Schizosaccharomyces pombe: one gene and its partners. The protein of the gene in region 1 interacts with the protein of each later gene in a pairwise test. Each region holds a gene or a part of one and is shown in the gene's direction. Other genes may lie near its edges. The genes, in order: get3, dcw1, mtx1 and dap1.

Evidence for each region.
Region 2: the proteins of get3 (region 1) and dcw1 interact in a two-hybrid assay, tested with the Schizosaccharomyces pombe proteins (one large-scale study listed by BioGRID).
Region 3: the proteins of get3 (region 1) and mtx1 interact in a two-hybrid assay, tested with the Schizosaccharomyces pombe proteins (one large-scale study listed by BioGRID).
Region 4: the proteins of get3 (region 1) and dap1 interact in a two-hybrid assay, tested with the Schizosaccharomyces pombe proteins (one large-scale study listed by BioGRID).

Annotation. Positions count from the first base shown.
Region 1 is NC_003424.3:3,634,062-3,638,890, forward strand, and holds get3 (GET complex ATPase subunit Get3), read left to right. Parts: upstream 1-2,948; 5' UTR 2,949-3,040; coding exon 3,041-4,030; 3' UTR 4,031-4,329; downstream 4,330-4,829. Other genes in the region: Cu transporter complex subunit Ctr5, read left to right, coding at 1,704-2,225; ESCRT III complex subunit Vps32, read right to left, coding at 4,710-4,829. UniProt on the Schizosaccharomyces pombe protein: ATPase required for the post-translational delivery of tail-anchored (TA) proteins to the endoplasmic reticulum. Recognizes and selectively binds the transmembrane domain of TA proteins in the cytosol.
Region 2 is NC_003421.2:510,171-515,170, reverse strand, and holds dcw1 (mannan endo-1,6-alpha-mannosidase), read left to right. Parts: upstream 1-1,630; coding exon 1,631-1,843; intron 1,844-1,889; coding exon 1,890-2,462; exon of another isoform or gene 2,463-2,535; coding exon 2,536-2,845; exon of another isoform or gene 2,846-2,895; coding exon 2,896-3,128; 3' UTR 3,129-3,405; downstream 3,406-5,000. Other genes in the region: rad16 (DNA repair endonuclease XPF), read left to right, coding at 1-265; kinetochore protein Mis18, read left to right, coding at 401-554, 600-660, 708-794, 843-878, 920-1,004, 1,079-1,240; cbr1 (cytochrome b5 reductase), read left to right, coding at 3,831-4,736.
Region 3 is NC_003423.3:1,169,963-1,176,180, reverse strand, and holds mtx1 (metaxin 1), read left to right. Parts: upstream 1-1,948; 5' UTR 1,949-1,974; intron 1,975-2,050; 5' UTR 2,051-2,096; coding exon 2,097-3,449; 3' UTR 3,450-3,679; coding exon of another isoform or gene 3,680-4,324; 3' UTR 4,325-4,384; coding exon of another isoform or gene 4,385-4,579; 3' UTR 4,580-4,874; downstream 4,875-6,218. Other genes in the region: chaperone protein Shr3, read left to right, coding at 316-426, 816-1,352; SPOM_SPBC409.18 (phosphatidic acid phosphatase), read right to left, coding at 3,680-4,324, 4,385-4,579; protein duc2, read left to right, coding at 5,959-6,218.
Region 4 is NC_003424.3:4,152,705-4,156,820, forward strand, and holds dap1 (cytochrome P450 regulator Dap1), read left to right. Parts: upstream 1-2,755; 5' UTR 2,756-2,768; coding exon 2,769-3,269; 3' UTR 3,270-3,616; downstream 3,617-4,116. Other genes in the region: Clr6 and Rpd3L histone deacetylase complex subunit Sds3, read left to right, coding at 3,835-4,116. UniProt on the Schizosaccharomyces pombe protein: Required for sterol biosynthesis. Functions as a positive regulator of cytochrome P450 enzymes erg5 and erg11. Function requires bound heme.

The DNA of each region.
Region 1 (4,829 bases):
GTCAATTTGTATCAAGTATGTCCATTGTTTTCAATTTATCTTCATAATCATTGACCAACCCAAATTGCGGGAAAAAATACTTCCCTACTGAATACACTCAATAAAACAATAACTGGTATGTAGTGATTGATCATCATAAACCATTTTTCAAAAGAAAACCTAATTGATCGATTTTATTGCCTTTTTGTAGTATTGTTCTACGCAGTTTTTCTTACTACGAACTATTCTTCTGCACTGATAACAAGCTACACTTAAGGGCTGCATTCAAGATTTCTTGACTATATAATTTATAAACTAGACATGTTTAATGTCTACGGCCATACCTAGGCGAAAACACCAGTTCCCGTCCGATCACTGCAGTTAAGCGTCTGAGGGCCTCGTTAGTACTATGGTTGGAGACAACATGGGAATCCGGGGTGCTGTAGGCTTCATTTCGTTTTTTTGTTTTTGTTTCTGTGCAAAAAGAATGTTTGTGTTTTCAATGCTTCGATACAATTATTGTCTTGAACTCGCTGAAACCATAAACTGATAATGAATAAACCATTAAAGTACCAAAAATATAAATGTGTACGATTTGAAATATTTTTTTTTTTTTTTTTTTTTTTTTTTTTTTTTAGGCCATGAATGACAACTTTGTTTTAATTTTCTTGTAATATCTCATAAAGGTTTGGTTTTTATAACCCACTCAATATTTGGTGATTTTTATTTTATTTTATTTAAATGGACCATACGTTCATTCCTTATTAAGCAATTATGTCAAGAATAAAAAAAGAATTTAAAATCATAATCGTTTTAAAAAAAAAATTTTAAAAGGAGCAGCTAAATTAAATTAATGTGACATTGCATGGTTATTTATAAATTATCTTCTACAAATAATTAAACCAATTAAGTGTATAAATGCTCCTGTAGTGCTTTAATCAAAAGAAGAATCTTAATTGTTATTGTATTCATACAAATCTTACTTTACTTTTATATCTATTTACAACGTACGAAAATCGTATTTGAATATCAATTTAGGCAAACCTCATTTGTTTATTTTTTTTGGAGTTTCTTGTAACTCTTAATGTATACGATAACATCACCGGGATTAAAATTTACATATTCATATTCATCCAAATTCCTTTGTATGTTTGATTTAATTAATTAATTAATTTTGCTTTTTTTTTTTATTTTTATATTCTTTTCGATTAACGCGACCCGCCGCAATACCTTAATCACCATTTGGCGGGAATTTTGCTGAGCGATTATAGCTGGTAGTTTTTACCCAAAGGAGAAAAAGTCGCATATCAGTAGATGATGCTTTTAAACTGCTATAAAAGGTAATCCTACCCCCGTTCACTTTGAAGCGATATTTGAGCGTTCAGCTTAATTGAACATTCAGGACTTGAAAAAAACCTGTAGTGATCATTCTAATTCAAGTGTATAGGTAGCAGTAAGAAGTTGCTAAATTATACATTTTGTCTGTCTGCGAAAAAGGCCCAGCTCATAGAGAGATATTTCGCTTAAAGGTGGTAAAACTAGTGTTATTAACTTACTTTCAACAAAAGACATTTGTTTTCGCATTGTTCCGGTTATACTTGTTATTTTAGTTTAAGACGCTTTCCATTGAGTGTCTTCTTTTCTTTCTTTTTATCGGCTCTTATCCTTTATTGACAGATACCTAAGATACTTCTCAATATTTGGCTAACGCTTCTTGCAACAAAATGAGCTTAAGTAAGATGAGTATGAGTGGCATGAGTGGCATGGGTATGGGTAGCTCCAGTAACTCGAGTGCTGCGACATGTCGCATGAGTATGCTATGGAATTGGTATATACATGACTCGTGTTTCCTGGCTAAATCCTGGCATATCAACACTGGAAACAAATTCGCCGGTAGTATTATTGGAATTTTTTTCTTCGCCGTCGCTATTGAAGGTTTGTCCCTCGTTCAAAGAATGTTTGATCGCTGGATTGTTGCTCACTCTAATGGCAAAACTTTAAGTGGACCTCTGCGTATCTTCTTTCCAAGTTCCACTGTGCATGTTACTGTCTGGCAACAACTAATACGAGCAGCCATGTATTCATCGTTTTACTTGTCCGCTACCATCCTCATGTTGATTGTAATGTCGTTTAACGGATATGCCATTTTGTTCGGTTTCGTAGGTGCTTGGATAGGATTTTTCCTTTTCGCGAGTGATACTTATGGAACCCCATCCACTGGTACTGGATGCTGCGAATCAAGATAGTCATATTTAATTGTACAGGGGTATTCATAAGGATCCGATTTTAATGTACTATTAATACTTTTTACGATTGTTTTTGTTTGGTGTTGGGTTTCGATAGTGTGTTTTATGTTTTTCTTTGTTTGCTTATCAGGGATTATATTCAGACTTAGAAATAATAACTTTTTCTTTAATTCAGTTTAATATATCTCCTCTATCGGTATGCAAAAACTGGTAGTTTACTAAATATGTTGTTGATATGGATGCAAATTTATATGATGGTACAAAATAGTATATTCTCTGCTCAGTATGATTCAAAGTTGTTCCTTGATTTCTTGTGAGTGCTTTAGTCATCAACAAACATCTGTAGCTCTGATCCTTGATTTACGTTGAATGATTCCATGTAGTTCTTTTCTTTATAACGAATATGGTAATCGAGCTTCAGCAGGCCAAAACATATTATACGATTAGAAAATCCATTTAAAGGAATTTTTTTAATTATGAAATTTCAGCATACCGTATTTAGCATTCTACTAGCATGGCTTTACGAATCCTTGATAAAAAACTTACTTAATTGTTATATTGCTAGCGTATCAAAAATAGGAACAAAACATGCTATACACTATTAATTGTAGTTGCAATGTACAATTATTAAGTCTTTAATTAAATTTTTATCTCTGATCGTTGGGAACTGATCTGCCGCGTACTTAGGATCTTCATTTTCACTTGCAAACTGTCGTAACACCTATCCTCAGCATATCGCATCGTGCATCTGGTCAACGAGAGTCTATAAGAAGACTAGCTTCAGATTAAAAAAAAAAATTCTCTAATAAAGTAAAATGTCCTTCGACCCATTGCCTGGAACCTTAGAAAACCTTCTTGAGCAAACTTCCTTAAAATGGATTTTTGTAGGAGGAAAAGGCGGTGTAGGAAAAACAACTACGTCGTGTTCATTGGCCATTCAAATGTCAAAAGTTAGATCCTCTGTTCTACTTATCTCCACGGATCCTGCTCACAATCTTTCTGATGCCTTTGGCACGAAATTTGGAAAAGACGCTCGTAAGGTTCCTGGTTTTGATAATCTGAGTGCCATGGAGATCGATCCTAATTTATCCATTCAGGAAATGACAGAGCAAGCTGACCAACAAAATCCCAATAATCCTTTATCTGGAATGATGCAGGATTTGGCTTTTACAATACCAGGTATCGACGAGGCATTGGCATTCGCTGAAATCCTTAAGCAGATCAAATCTATGGAATTTGATTGTGTCATTTTCGATACCGCTCCTACTGGACATACGTTAAGATTTTTGAATTTTCCAACTGTTTTGGAAAAAGCTCTCGGCAAGCTTGGCGGTCTCTCCAGTAGATTTGGCCCTATGATTAACCAAATGGGTAGCATAATGGGTGTAAATGCCAATGAACAAGATCTATTTGGAAAGATGGAAAGCATGCGTGCTAATATTTCTGAAGTTAACAAGCAATTTAAGAATCCAGATCTTACTACTTTTGTGTGTGTATGTATTTCCGAGTTCCTTTCTCTTTATGAAACTGAAAGAATGATTCAAGAACTTACTAGTTATGAAATTGATACTCACAACATCGTTGTTAACCAACTTTTGCTTGATCCCAACACCACTTGTCCCCAGTGTATGGCTAGAAGAAAAATGCAACAAAAATATTTGGCGCAAATTGAAGAGCTCTATGAAGACTTTCATGTTGTCAAAGTACCGCAAGTTCCAGCTGAAGTTCGCGGTACTGAAGCTTTGAAGTCTTTCTCTGAGATGTTGGTCAAGCCTTACGTTTATCCTACTTCTGGCAAAGAATAATGTATTTTTTCAATCTTATCCACTGCTGTTAATAAGGGTGTCAAAAGCCTCTAAATGTATATTTTTTAACAAATTGATTGACAGCTTGAATATGCATATTAGAATGGCTGTTTCTAAGTTTTTACATTACTTTTATTTTGTTGAAGAATTCTTATCGTTTCCTCAGTTGAGCTTGACTATTTGCCAAAGCAAATAAACCAAAAGCGCTAGGTTGATACACTGTTTAATGATTAAACACAACAGGATTCTGAGCACACTGTTTAGATTAATATTAATCAATTTGACAAGATATGAACGTGTCTGGAATAACTCAAAACATTAAAAAGTTAACTTGAACTAACAGTCATTTGATACAGTTGTTTTAGTAGAATGAAGAAGACGTAATATGTAAAATTCTTCAGCTAGTTTTTCCGTAGATTATTTAACTACACCAATTATTAAAATACAATGAAAAAACACACATCCGAACATGAGGACGGAGACCTATAAGTTATAGTCTAATAATGGTATTGTACATAAAATTTGTATTTAGGCTTCCATGATGACTCATAACAAGGAAAACATAGAATACTAACAACTGACAAATTAAATAATTCCATAAGTTATAACAGAAACCTTAGAAGATGACTTTAACATATTGAGAAAATAATAAAAATACCGAGCAAGCGTACTGGTCACTTTAAAGAGAGAATTCAGCCTGTAGTTTTCGAAGTTCTTCTTCTTCATCCAATTCTTGAGGCTTTGAAATAGAAGGGAGGTCTTTGACTTGAGACGGGACAGCAGGAACAGCAGGAGTGTG
Region 2 (5,000 bases), on another chromosome or scaffold:
AGAACCAGATCCTGCTTCAGCTGCCTCTATAGGTTTGGAAGCTGGGCAAGACTCAACGAATACTTATAATCAAGCTCCACTCGACCTGCTAATGGGACTCCCATACATAACTATGAAAAACTACAGAAATGTGTTTTATGGAGGCGTGAAAGATATTCAAGAAGCTTCCGAAACCTCAGAAAGAAAATGGTCAGAACTAATTGGCCCCGAAGCAGGAAGGCGTCTTTATTCCTTCTTCCGAAAACAGTTAAAGGACTATGAGTAATTTATTTTTTTATAATTTTGTAATATATTTAATTTTTGCTTCTACATCTGATATATATTGGTTCACCATATATAGAATGTTAAGCGCACCTAATTAATAACGACTACTACTAGATAAAATGAACTTTCCATAAGTATGTCCCAGACGGAAACTAGTCATTCGGGCTATATTGATTTTAAAAAAGAGTCACAACCTAGCGTCTTCCAATGTAAAAAATGTTTTCAAATAGTTGGTGATTCTAATGCTTGGGTTATTTCTCATCGAGAATATCTTAGTTTCACTTTGAGTGGTATGTGGTAAAAGAAATGTCCATGTAATTAATTATTTCATTTAGATGCAGTAGAAAATAGTGTACGCGTTGAGGATACGTTTAAAAGGAGTGATGATGGTCTTTGGTATGTTGCATGTGTTGCTCGCCAGTTTACTAATACAAAAATTATAGCGTCTATTCAGAGTTGAGTTGTACTAGATGCAATGAAGTGATTGGGAAGGTGTATAATTCTACACCTATATATCTTGATGATATTAGGTATGTCTAGTCGTACTTGGTTGACCAAATTTTAACAAAATCATGTAGAGATATGTATACTTTTTCAATGGACAAATTACAAGCGTAAGTTCATGATTTCATCTTAGTTACTAACCCCAGTGAAGCTACCAACTAGGTAATAAGACCGTAAATCCTGAAGGCCTTACACGGTATCAAGTTGATTTAGAAATGAGAGAGGACATTATAAAGGCATGTACAGTGATTCTTTATATAGTAGAGAAAAATAAACTTTAAGAAGAATAAATTACTAATTTTATTTGTAGTTGAAGTCCTTTTGTCTCTCTCTATATGAAAAGTTCGAACTTCACGATGAAACTTTACGCTCAGTTAAGGAGACAATATCCAGTTTAAAAAAACCGAAAATTGAGGGAAAGGAAGGTAAAAAAGAAAAGGCAAGAACATACTCTAAACGAACGAGGAAATAAGTCCACCGCTAGAAAGTACTGGGATACCATGTACAAACTGTTATATTCAAACAGTTAAAATTGCGGTTAAAACAAAAAGACACAATTTAAATAATACCTTTTTGATGTATTTTTTCTAAGGTTTTCCTTCTTGCTCATTGTGATATGCATGGGGCTGTCGGTCTCACGAATAAATGTGAGAGTATTTTCATTGAAAGGCTTAAGAATTTTATAGAAGATAGATTGCGTTAAGTTATATTTTTTCCCTACCTTTGGTCGTTCGTTGTTTACTGTTTAGATTATTTCTATCAGTCATTAATGAGTCATCATTGAATCATATGAAGGGCGACAGTCATCTGGATACATATGGGAATCTTCAAAGATACTACTCTATTTAATCCTTCTTTTTCAATGAGTCTTACAATCTTTATTTCACTTGCAACTATTTTGTTTTCCTTCGCTGAAGCCATTTCGGTGGATTTGAATGACACGTCCTCCGTTGACTTAGCCACTTCTTTAGTAGCTGATGGATTATTGAATTATTATGCTGGTCAGCACAAAGGAGGAACTATCGGGATGTTCCTTCCTCCAGCCTACTGGTGGGAAGCCGGGGCTGCTTGGAATGTACGTTGAGCTTAAAAGTATAATTTATTAACAACAATGGCTTTAGGGACTTTTAAATAGATACATTGCCACTGGTAATAGTACATATAACGAGTTGGTAAAGACCAGCATGTTGTACCAATCTGGAGAGGATTCAGATTATATGCCTTCGAATTATACAACATCTGAGGGAAATGACGATCAGGCATTTTGGGGTCTGACCGTTATATCTGCCGCTGAAGCAAACTTTTCAAATCCAGCAGCCGATGAACCACAATGGTTGGAACTGGCTCAAGCTGTATTCAACCAACAGGTCACACGATGGGACACGGATCATTGCAACGGTGGTCTTCGATGGCAGATTACTGAATTTAACTCTGGGTACAACTATAAGAACACTGTCTCAAATGGAGCATTTTTTCAGCTTGCAGCTCGACTGGCTCGATTCACCGATAACGATACTTATGCTGAGTGGGCTAATGTAGCATACGATTGGAGCCAAAGGATTGGGTTTATTCAAGAAGATTACACTGTATTTGATGGGAGTTCTATAAAAGATAATTGCTCATCTATCGAAATTACTCAGTGGACTTACAATATAGGATTATACATGGCAGGAGCAGCTTACATGTATAACTATGTACGTTTAAAGGATATATACATTATAACTTTACTGTAAAATGCAAAATGATTGTAACTAACAGTTTCACCAGACGAACTCTACGGTATGGAAAACTCGAGTTGAAGGTTTTGCCAACAAAACTGCCAAAACCTTTTTTTTCAAGGATATTATGTTCGAACCAGTATGTGAAATAGCTCTTTCATGTAACTATGATCAAACGTCTTTCAAAGGCTTTTTGACCAGATTTATGGTCTACACGGCACAAATGGCTCCATTCACTGCACCGTTATTAGAACCATTGTTGATATCCACCGCCAAAGCTGCAGCCGGGGCATGTTGCGGCGGTTATGATGGAGTGACTTGTGGTGTTCAATGGTGGTGGAATAACGATACTTGGGATGGTATGTTTGACTGTTAAAAAAAAACAGTATTGGTTCTAACTTTATAATAGGACTTTATGGCCTTGGAGAGCAAATGTCTGCATTGGAAGCTATTCAAGCTCCCTTACTTTTAAAATCGCTTCAAGTCTTTAAGGCTTCGAATGGAGGATCATCAACAGGAGACCCCAATGCAGGGCTTTATACTGCTCCTGTATCTTTCGCTAACAAAAATTTTGAAAACCTGAGGAAACATTGGATGCTATTGGGGTTCTTCCTTTTAGTGCCTACACTGGTCCTTTACTAAAAAATGTGATGTTAAGTAATGCAAGTTGATGGATCTAGGGTTTTTAAATTGCTTCTTCTTACTTGGAAACAATTACCTGTCTTTTAATGCTTGTTCCTCAGAGACGGTGTTTCACTTCCAAACTGTATACCGAATTATATATAAATAGATGGATATATCTCATGTATTCCGGTAGTAGATCATTGCTGAAAGACTATTTATTAACGAATTTACAAAATTTAGTTATTAAAATTTAATTCATTTCTTAAATTATGAATCGGCGTGATAAACAAGCATATGCTTGCGAACAAGTATGGTTCGACAAGCTGGTTTTTCAAAATAAATAATTTTAGCAGATTTTGAAGCGAAAGCCCTCAATCTATATAATTTACAATGAAATGGATTATGTGATGATTTATGTTCTCTTTCGTCAGTATTCCATGCTTAGTTGTTCATGACCTTAAAAAATCATTCGAGAAATCTGATTAGTTTTATAGACTTGCCCTTGACCAAACTTCTACTGTTAGCAATACTGCAGGAATCGTGAAAACTAGAGATTTCTTTTAAATTTTTTGAAACTATTGAAAGGTTTCTTATTCTTTAAATTATTTTAGTTTCTTGAAGATTTTGTAATTTGAGTCTTCTGGAAACGTTTCGCATTTCTTCTGCTTTCAGGCTTCTCTACTTTTTCTTTAGTTATTTTGGCTCACAATCCTAATTGAAATGGCCAAACAAACTCTTCTTAGTACCCCGTTGCATGGAGTCTATATTCCAGTGTTTTTGATCATCTTTGGTACTTACATTGTGAAACGCGAATGGGTGGGTTACGCTATTGTTGTGGCATTCTCTCTTGGTTTTCATAAGTTCTGGCGTGGACGCGTTCGTAAAGTATTGAGTGATAAAATTCAACAATTTGAACTTAGTGATAAAGCTGTATTGAACCACAACACTGCCATTTATCGTTTCCGTCTGCCTCGCGCTAACGATGTTCTTGGTCTCCCCATAGGACAACATTTAAAGGTCTTTGTTGATGTTGATGGTAAGGAGTATTCCAGATCTTACACTCCTCTGTCTTCCGATGCTGACAAAGGTTATTTTGATTTGCTCGTAAAGTCTTACCCCAATGGCAAAGTGAGTAAGAAGTTTTCTGAACTTAAGATTGGTGATACCATCGGTGTTCGTGGCCCTAAGGGAAATTGGAAGCATCGCACTGGCCTCGCGCGCCATTTTGGCATGATCGCAGGCGGAACAGGTATTACTCCTATGCTTCAAATCATTCGTGCTGTTCTTTCTAATTTTGAAGATCCAACGGAAATCACTCTTTTATATGCTAATGTATCAGAGGGTGATATTGTTCTTCGTGATGAGATTGACGCACTTGCTAAGAAGGATCCTCGTTTTACCGTTCATTATGTTTTGAACAATCCTCCTGAAAACTGGAAGGGAAGTGTTGGATTTGTTACTCAAGAACTTATCAAGGCGCATTTCCCTGCTCCTTCTCCTGAAACCAAAGTTCTTATTTGTGGCCCTACTCCCATGGTTAATTCACTCAGAGAAGCTACAGTTGCATTGGGATATGAAAAGTCCCGAGCCATTTCGAAGCTTGAGGATCAAGTATTTGTCTTTTAGATTTTAATTTTGATTATTTCCCTTCCCTCGTTTCAATAATGTTCTTCGTTTTATGTTGCCAATCGACTCACTCTACTGCAATTTATCTTACTACACGGCACATGTTTTAAGTAGTTAATTATTTGACGTGACTATATGTTTACGAATAAGCTAGAGACTTTTTTATCTGCTTGGATTGAAGTTAGCAATGATACGTACACAGTCTAGTCTAGTGAAGGATCAAGCCAATGCAATCTTAAAAGAGAAATAAACAAAATTTACATT
Region 3 (6,218 bases), on another chromosome or scaffold:
ATTCAGTTACAATAAATAGTGACATACAATAGTCGCTCAAATATATCTGGTTATATTTTATATTAAATAATTTTGCCAACTGATTTATCTTGGGTTGATTTTTCTTATTCGTGAGATTTAGATAGCCGTTCATGATGTTTTTCTGCATACAATGCATATTAGTGGAAAATGCGTTCGATTTCCTTATACTCATACAATCCTTTAGACCGTCGAAAGCGGAGTGGTATCACTTTGGTATAAAAAGGTAGTCTTAATTAACCTACCACTAACGTATATTTTCATTAACAAAAAAAAAGTTTATTATCATTATTCAAGATGGCTAAAAGATCCATATTTCGTTTTGCTGATGAAAAGGGCTTGAAGGTCGCTGCCCGTTATGGAGTCCTTATGTCAACTAGTTTTATTTTTGCTTTACTTTTCCACAGCGTATGTTCCAATCAAATTTCTATTTTATTCTAAGATTATTCATTTGAAAATCAACTTTCATTTGATATCAATTTCGTTTAGCTTTTGGAGACAAAGGGAGCAGAATATGAGAAATTATAAGTCGGTACTTTGAGTGAATTCTGAATTTGTTTTACAAAACATGCATTGTTAAAATAAATCTGGAAAATTATTTTATCAGGAACGTTTCTAAAAAGGAGCTTTTTGTCTGTTTAAGTTTTCATAATCGGATACGAGCATTCATCTTACCGCTCAATGTTTGCCGCGCTGCTCATTTTTCTGTTGTTCTTATGTTTTTGGAGCTTCACTTCGAATTGATTACTTTGTTCATAGTCTTTATTTTCTTAGCATAAATTACTAATGTCATTTAGAGCGTTGCCGATGTGAATACCTTATGGAGTCCTGGCCCTGAGTCTGCTTTCGATGCTGCTGAAACTTACTATACTTTGGTGGCTGGATCCCATTTCATTGTAAAATATACTGTATATACCATCATGGGACTTAATATGATTTTCCATCTTATTCAAGCCACTGGCGCTAAAGGTGATGACAAATTGTTCTTTTACTCTAGCACGCTTCTTTATCTTACTGCACTAATTTTGTTTATTGTTAATGTTGCTCCTTCTATGTTGGTTGTTAAGCTACAGAATTATGTTCAATTCCCACGAAATATGCACTTGTCCGTTCTTGCTGCTTCTCATGTTCTTGTTGAATTTCTTCTTGCTGGTGTCATTCTTATTCAACTTGGATACGTTTTCGGATATCATGTTCAAAGTATCCAGCAGCGCGAATACGCTGAAGATATGAGGGAGCAAGAATTAGCTGAAAAGGCTAAATTGGAATCCGAGTCTGCTACTACTCAGAGTGTAGAAACTGTTTCCACCGAATCTGTTTCAAAGCGCAAGTAAACAAACCACTTGGGTCTAATTTTACAACTTTTGGAATAGAGTGAACTATTTTATATCTTGCTAATTATTGTTGCTAGTCCGTCATCAACTCTTTGACGCAAAGTTTATGTCTAACTAGAAAGCAAAGAGTGACTTGCATTGACGGTAACTGGGAAAGCTTACATGTGTATTCATACGTACAATTATATATATACAAGATTTATACTGTCTTATATAAGAAATAAATTGACTTGAATTTTCGATAGAGGAATAGTTCGTTATGTTTGGATTTAGAATAGTCTTTAGCACACTTATACTTCTTAATAATTAAATATGTACTCATTGTGCAAAAAGGATTATCACAAGTGAAGCTTTTGTGAGATTGTATATTCTTCTATACTATGGATGCATAAACAAAGTCTCATTTTAGATGGGTTTTACGCTGCAGATACAGCAGAAGCGCCATACAAATATACTAAGTAAAATCTCAAAGTTCAAATGCTCAATCGATTTATTGTGCTAATTATCGATGTTTAATTCACTTTTTAACAACTAATAAATAGGTAACAATGTTACTTGTTCGTATAGCTTACTTGACTGCATAGCATCAGAATGATAATTGTAACTAGCTTCAGCGAATTTGGTAAGTTGGACTAGTTGGTTAGTTATTACCTTTTTTTTCTTTCTTCTGTGTTTCTCTAATCTCAACCCTACTGTAGACGGTAACTTTTTCAATTCATTCGTTCGGGTCATTTTTTGATCAAAATGTTGCAACTTTTCATTTATAGCCCAGGACTTGGGCAACCAACGATGGATCCTGGATGCTTAGCGGCATTAATTTATTGCGCACTTGCCGTCCCAAAGGACGAAATTGAAATTCTTCGCACTGCAAATTCAGGTATGAGCCCTACCCATAAGCTACCAGCTTTGTGGGATGGTCATGTTTGGATTGGATCTTTGAAAAACATTTTAATATACTTGAAACAGAAGGGCTATAATTTGGATAATTTTGATGCGAAACAGCTGGCCAATGTTATGGCCTTCACCAGTTTATTGGAAGGTTCCGTCAATGACCTTTGGTTATTAGAAGCCTTTGTTAATGAGGAAAATTTTGTTGAAGCAATAAGACCTGCTTGGTCAAAGGCACTTAAATTTCCTCATAATTATTTGACACCCAATGCTTTGCAACGGCAAGCAAAAGAACGCTTGGCTCAAACACTTGGTATTCGCGACGAAGAAGTCTCTTATGAAGCATCAAGGATGCCTATTTCTCATAAATGGACTAATGCTACTAGACATAGGCAAGCTCTACTGCGCACGCAAGCTCGTCGTATAAGAATTTCGTCATTAGCTCGGCAGGTATATGGTTCGCTTGAGTCCCTGATTTCAGATTCAAAATTTATATTCGGTGAAAAGCCAACATCTCTCGATTGTTTGTTTTACGCCTATTTATCTTTCCATGCTTTCACCAATGAGCTTCCTCAAGCAACTTTGCGACCATGTTTGCAATTCAACTCTCCCAAGCTTTATGCCTATCTCAAATCTTTACGCGAAACCTGGTTTTCCGATGATTCAAACATACTTTCTCCTTTATCGATTAAAGTTCAACCCGAAAATCTATTGACTATAGCTCGCCTTGCTTGGAACAATGTTACTGCCAAAGCAAATGATACAAGGAAATCAATTACTAAGTTTAGCGTCCCTCCCGAAAGGAAACTGCTGTGGGCGAGGAATGGATTCTTTATTTTTGCATCCGCTTTCAGCTTTGTATGGTTTGTCATCAGCAATGGTATAGTTGTCATTGAGACGGAAGATGATGAGGCTTCCTTTGAGGAAGTAGATGATGCTAAAGAAAGCATACAAGAAAAAGAAATTGATGAAACTACTGAATCAAAAGCGACCCATGACAGTTCAGAAACCTCATCAAGTAAAGAGTTACCTAAGGAAGAAGAAAAAGAGTCAAGTTCTTTTGATTTGCAACCTTTATCAGCGCAAGATTTATTGTTTTCTGGATTTGCAGAAGATGAAATTATGGATGAAGAATTTGGGTATGACGATGATGACGATGAAGAATTTGATTTAGATGATTTGGATGACTTGGAGGAAGAGATTGTTTGATTGTAAAAACAAAAAATAATTTCTCGGTTCTTAAACATAATCTACATTTGTTAAATATTAACCCGATATCGGCTTCCAAGTTTTCTTTACATATTTATTAGTCAAAATCTAATAAATCTAGATAAATACTAGTATCAGGTTTTTTTGTATCTATATAAGAACACTGCAGCAATAAAACGTTGTTGTCATGTTAACAAAATAATAAAATAAAAAGAAGGATAAAGGGATCCTTAAACCATCTGTTCTGCGTTCGTGGCTGATGAGTTACCGGCTGAATGAACGTTGGTATAACCTTCATCGAGCTCAGCTTGGACATATAAGATATCGGCATTATGATGATCTAAAGGAGGAAAGAGTTGACGATAAACGACATACGCAATTGCAAAACCAAAAAGGGCACCGACTGCAATGTCTTCTTTGTGGTGACGGTAATCTTGACTGCGGCTGAGACCAATCCAGGATGCAATGCTCAAAGGCACAAGTGGGACTACTACCTTCCATGAAGAGGTTTTATTACGGAACATCTTTAACTGACCTGCAAGGAAGATTGCTAGAAATCCAAGGCCAGCAAATGAAAATGATGTGTGGCCAGATGGAAAAGAACGGAACCCATCCTGCAATACTTTATCCGACCATGGCACAGAACAAGATAGAACATCTACCAAACCAGTTTTTGGAGTTGACTCAAAAGGTTGGCAGCGTGCAAGGAAGTCGGGTCGTGGCCTGCCCACCGCATTTTTAAGTAGAGAAACGCAAAGACCGCAGACCATTGTAGAGTATAAGAGACCCATAAGAGATTTCCAAAATAGTAACGAATTATTTCTTAATTTGCCGAATCCGTAGAGGACAAGTGCAGGAAAGAAAACACAAATAATCTAGAGGGTTAGCTAAGCAATTTTACCAATTGTCTATAATCATCAAGATAAACAACATACACCGAGATACTTTGTGGGAACTTGCTCATGAAGTGCAAATGGATGAGAAATGGTTATGTCTTCTAAGGAAAATTGGCGAGTAAAGGGCAACATTAGTACGTCAAATACGAAATAGCTTAAAGATATGGCTATAAGTACGGCATAATCACTATAAACGTTCCAAAATAACTTAACGTGTTTGCCTACTGCTTCCATGGTTTAAAAATTAAGCAATTTCCTTCAGCGTGACAATTTGCCCTGCAATGGAGGTGAAGTGATGCGACGACGGTGAAGACTGACAGTGCAATGACCTCAAGCCTCAAACAACCCAATTTCATTTTGCTGATTTAATCCACCTATTGTTGAATAGTTTTTGTTTTGTACTGTTCTTTTTTTATTATCCTTTCAAATTTGGACATTGCTTCGCAAGTTCACGTGCTTTTTTTTTTTTTTTAAATCGACAATTTTATGCTTAGCAAAGGTAATCTATACTCTCTTACGGTTATAAAATCATAATTAAATTTATTTATTTCTTAAATCGAAAGTAATTATTAAGCTTAATTCTGTATGTGCACTTATTGAAACTTGTTTGGATAAGTATTACAGAACCAAGTGATTCGGGTTTTGTAAAAGTAAAACAAAACTCGGTTTTGATTAAAAACTTTAATAACGGGTTAAATTGCATTGAGCTCCCGATTATTCAGAAACAAGTGCGCAAAATCACTCATCATTTAGCGTCTATTCAATTTAAACACTTTCAGGATGCTCAAGATTTCAATTGCAAAATCATTTATTCATTTAGTTTAAGCAATATGTTTTATCTATCTATGAGAGTTCTCAAAATAAAGCGACAATCTATTAACTTAAAAAGTCAATGTAAGCAACAAATAGCAATGTTGACATGTAGGAGTATTACAAAAAAATACTCCAAAAGCATAACCTCAGCACCAATTCTTTTTAAATATGCCTAATATTGTGTTATAAAACTGTTTTCTGGTGAAAACAATTGGAACTGCAAGAAATTGATTCTTGTAGTGGAATGTTCTTTTTCAAAAAAAGAAAAAAAAAAGAGAAACTATGTTTGTATGTTTTTAAAACAAAACAAAGTATACTTTTTTTGATTTGATGTTTGGTTTGTGATGCTCGCTACAAAGACTTGATGTCTATCAGCTAAAATTATATAACTTCATTAATTTCAACGAATCGATAAGATATTCCAAAACAGAGAAATCACTGGCAAAAAGAAGCTTTTAAAAAAAAAAAATTGGTCTTCTTTAAGGCACATGTTTTACTATACTTAAGTAGTGTTCATAACCATGCCCGAGTGTCTCATTTGGACGAATACACACTACTACCACCTTCCTTTCCTTCTTCCTTAAATTGGCTTCTTTAATTTATGAAACGCTCTTAACGAACATCAATATTCCATAGCTACTGCCAAACATACAGAGAGTGAGCACAGGTTTGGTAAAAGGCCGTTTGGTTTGAATTTGCTAAGAATTACGCACATTAGTAAGTAGTACATATACACCGATATTATTTTTGCCAACTTGGATAAGCTACTCTTTTCTTTATTACGCCCTCTCCGTCCGGAGATGAAGTGTTTCTTAATTTGTGGATCTAAAAAAGAACCGATTTCTATTAATGGAACTCCAAATGTTGTAAAAAGCAAGTACTTTGAAGGAGATGTCAAAGTACGTCTGCGCGATTATGAAACTCCAGACGAAGAATATTTCGAGCAATCCAACGATACTTGTTCTATTATGATACGAGGCAGATTTTTACCTACAGAGAGTACGTTGACCGCAGATGACATTTTATTTGGAAATCAATTTGAAAAACCACTTCGTGATGT
Region 4 (4,116 bases), 520 kb from region 1:
AATATTAAAGGTTTATGAATACCAGTTAAGACTTCTTTCGTAAAGAGAAAGTTATTAAAAGGAAAAGACCTACGCACTTAACCCAAATACACGAGATTATCGCCCTTTTTCTCTTTCTTGTTAGCGTAGGCTTTTAAAGTGTAATAAGTGAAGCGGGAAAAAGAGAAAGAGAAAAGGAATAGGATTACAATGTAAAAAATCGAAAATTCAACACTTTCTAAAACTTTTCTCCAGCCTCAGTGTTAAGATTGTTTCGTTTCTAGAATGGGCTAATCGCTTGTTGATGGACCGGGCAATTAGAGAAACAGCGAGGGCATTGCTTTTTATGTGGTAGTAGAATGGTAATCATCGTAAATTGCTTATACAACATCCGGTTTGCTGCGCTAAACTAAATAACGAAAAGGAATATAACAACAGTAAATGATCTGGTGACTTCGGGGGTTGGGTTGGAGTAGGCTAAAAACGTAATAGATCGGTGTTATTAAAGGATTCAAGAAAGCATTGAATGTGTAGCAGCATATTCTTTTAATTATTTGTAAGATATTTTTTTTGATTTCATGAAAGAATACTGGAGATTTGATTCACGACTGTGGATGATGTTTACATATACTATTAAACATTGATTAATTTTGTAGACTAAAAACAGTAAACAACGTTATCAGCTTCAAAAAGTTTTTAAATTTGAATTAATAATTTTTTTATCTTAATAAATAAAGCTATACTACCAAAATTCTTCAATAATAAAAAAACCCTCAATCACCTACTACCGTCCTTTAATTACACTCTTCATCGGCTTCACTTCCTCGCCGAATCTTTGTTTACTTGTACCATCGGTGTTTATTGATTTTATTCGGCAAAATAATTCATCAAAGAAGAAGGGCAACACTTGTATGATTTCTTGGTATGACTGTACATTGGAGGAAATAATGACTGACCTGTTTTTCTTCTTTTTTTTTTTTTTTTTTTTTTTAAAAATTACCGGTCTTACGATACATTCACATCTACCGCTTGACAACAGCTGCAAATTTCATTACACTTGGATATGTAAGATGGTCAATAAAATCAAACGATTTTCTTAGGCTAGTCAAGTCATACTTACACAACAAATTGTCAAGAAAAATTACCAACCATCATCATATAGACACTGTATATAAGCCTTCGGTGAATATTTACACTAAACTAGCCGAACAATTTTTCCATAAGAAATATTATTTTATATTCAATTTAATCTTACAGCTCCTGTAAATAGCCGATCGTTCAAGTATATTTTGTATATTTATTTACTCGATTAATGGTATTTGTTTACTTTAATAATTATTATTAACGGAGATAAAAAGGTTCCTTTCTACTACTAGTCAAATACATAAGCTTCTTTAACAAAAACAAACCCTCGATTATGTAGAACAATGCTTGCTGCTATATTCTATAGTCCATCAGCATGAGCGTTATTTCTGATTCATAATGGTTTACCGAGAGAATTAATGGTAGCAAAATGACCTTGGATTTCAGGAGAGCCGATTCCGAATAGTTGGGATCTTGTTTGCTAAATCGAATGCTTAATTCTAGTAACTAATCCCATAACGACTGTTAGATTATCAGAATTTTCTTATTCTGTTCATTCGCTTCAGGTTAGGTTAATGTGACTGCTTCGTAGTACCGGATGGAAATAATAAAGGTTGCATTTTCCTTAGTTTATAGCCTACCCAACGCACACAAGTCAAATTGCTTGCAAAAGAAATTTCCACGTTTGCAAGTGCCAATGATTGTGCGAAGACTATTGCCTCTTTTGGCATGTAGTCATCTTAGTACTCTTTACTGCATTCTTCAACTTTGTGAAATTGCAGTGAGTCGGTAGGCTACAACATATTAATGTAGTTGCTAGGTAGCTTTATAGGATGAACGTGATTAGCTTGATGATATAAACTAAGACTTGTTTTACCATATTTAAATAAAACTTTGATATCAATCGATAATTCTACTGAAACGGAAATAATGTTGGAGAGTAGTGAGATACTAGTTGGTAATCTAGCACACAAAGCAAGTAAACTAGTTGGTTTAAAAAAAGGATAAATTTAAATCGTAATGATACTGATATATTGCTAGTTATATATAAAGCACTTTTAATCATAGTCTTGAAAGGTTTGCATTTTGTACGAGTGGAAGCATACTATTTCAAATGATATAGGCATGCGTTCGACTCATGCTGCTACCATGATGAACACGAGCCAGAAGGCTCAATATTCTATTAAACCCAGCTCTTTGAACCAATAGTTGTGAAACGAGAAACAAGTTCTGAACAGCAGTTTGTTTAAACATTGTTCGTGTATGCCTGGATAACTATGCTGTTGAGAAATTTTGTTTTTTTTACTAAAAAAATGTCGTGCGACTACGATTTCTCGCTTTGTTGAATAAATCAAAACACCATTACGCAGACTATACATGCATAAAGAGTATTGTAACCTTTTGTAAGATTCTTGTCATAGTAAATAAGATATGCTATGTTCCATTCTGTGCGTATATATGAGCAACATAATCATTGATATATAATTACATAACTAACCAAAATTTTTAACTTATGCTTTATTACAGTGCCTTTTAAACAGTTTATGTGTGCAGAAAACGAGACTGCAATAAACATATTCTCTATAACCGTCCGTATATAGTAATGTACCATGGTAACAAAACTATCGTACGTATTCTTCTAAGCAGGTAGTGCGAAGGTTTTGAGAGAATCATGCGACCAGTTGATTCTTCCATAAACCAACACCATGGCATCTACACAAGTTGTTTTTATAGTAACCTTATTTCTTTATTTGCTAATCACTCGCTGGAGAAGGAAGAATGAGAAATCTTTTATTGCAAGCGAAGAGCCAAAACAGCCCGAATGGAGAGATTATACTCCAGCAGAACTGAAGGAATATAATGGCTCCAAAAATTCATTGGTTTTTCTTGCTATCAAGGGAACTGTGTACAACGTTACAATGGGATCAAAATTTTATGGTCCACAAGGCCCTTATAGTGCTTTTGCCGGTCATGATGCCAGTCGTGGTTTAGCAAAAAATAGTTTTGACGATGAATTTATTCCTGATTCAGATGCAGAAGAATTGGATGATTGCAGTGATTTAAACGATGAGGAGAGGCAGGCTCTAAACGATTGGAAAGCATTTTTTGACCAAAAATATCAAGCTGTTGGCAGGCTGATAAGTCCCAGAGAGGCCAGAGCAGCAGCTACTATTTCAGAAACCGAAGAAAAAGTTGCGCATAATTAATAGCGACAAACCTGTTTTTTATGACTTCTTTCATGCTTATGGGTTTATGATCTTTTCTTTGGGATAATCTAGGACAAGTGGTATACGTTCCGCGTCCGAAGGATCAATCTGTAGTATTTGGGTACATTTGATGATGTGTTATGAAATTACTAGAAGCATGATTGCTTTCAAAAATTATCTTGCATGAAATAGAGGCTCTTAAGCAATGTTGAAAAAAGTCCTTGTAGCAGTAATTTTGGTGCCTTGATAAGGTTACGATAGCATCTTTTAAAAAACATTGTATGTCATTTCCATGTTTTTTTTTGACAATGAAAACTTAATAACCATCTGTGTCTTCTATTTTGTTGTAACATATATAAATGGTAGTAGATGTATGATCCATTTTGAAGAATTATTGTAAACCGTTGTTCATCTGATAATTATTAGCACAACTTTTCTCGTTTAGATAACTTTATTTCGTATTCGGAGAATCTTACCCTTACCCTTAAAATCCTTCGTCAGTAGCTGGAAGAAGGACAAAATTGTTTTGTCACGAACAAATAGGTGGTAAAAGAGTTAAAGCGTCATGGACGTCCTTTCGAGAGTCTTTGACAATGAAAAAGAAGAACTGGATCCTTTATTGAACAATCCACTTACAGCTAGTGAGTTCCGAGCCAAAAAAGCAGAACTGGAAGCTGAATTGGAATCTATTCGTAACGGAACTTGTAAAACTCTTTTAGATTTGGCAGATGAACTTAGAAGGAGTAGAGATGAGGAATTGGAAATTGCAGAGCGTTGGAGAACGTTTTTGGTGAATCGGGCACAAGAGGAATACGAAGTGGAGATGAAAGCAGCCAAGGAGGAGTAC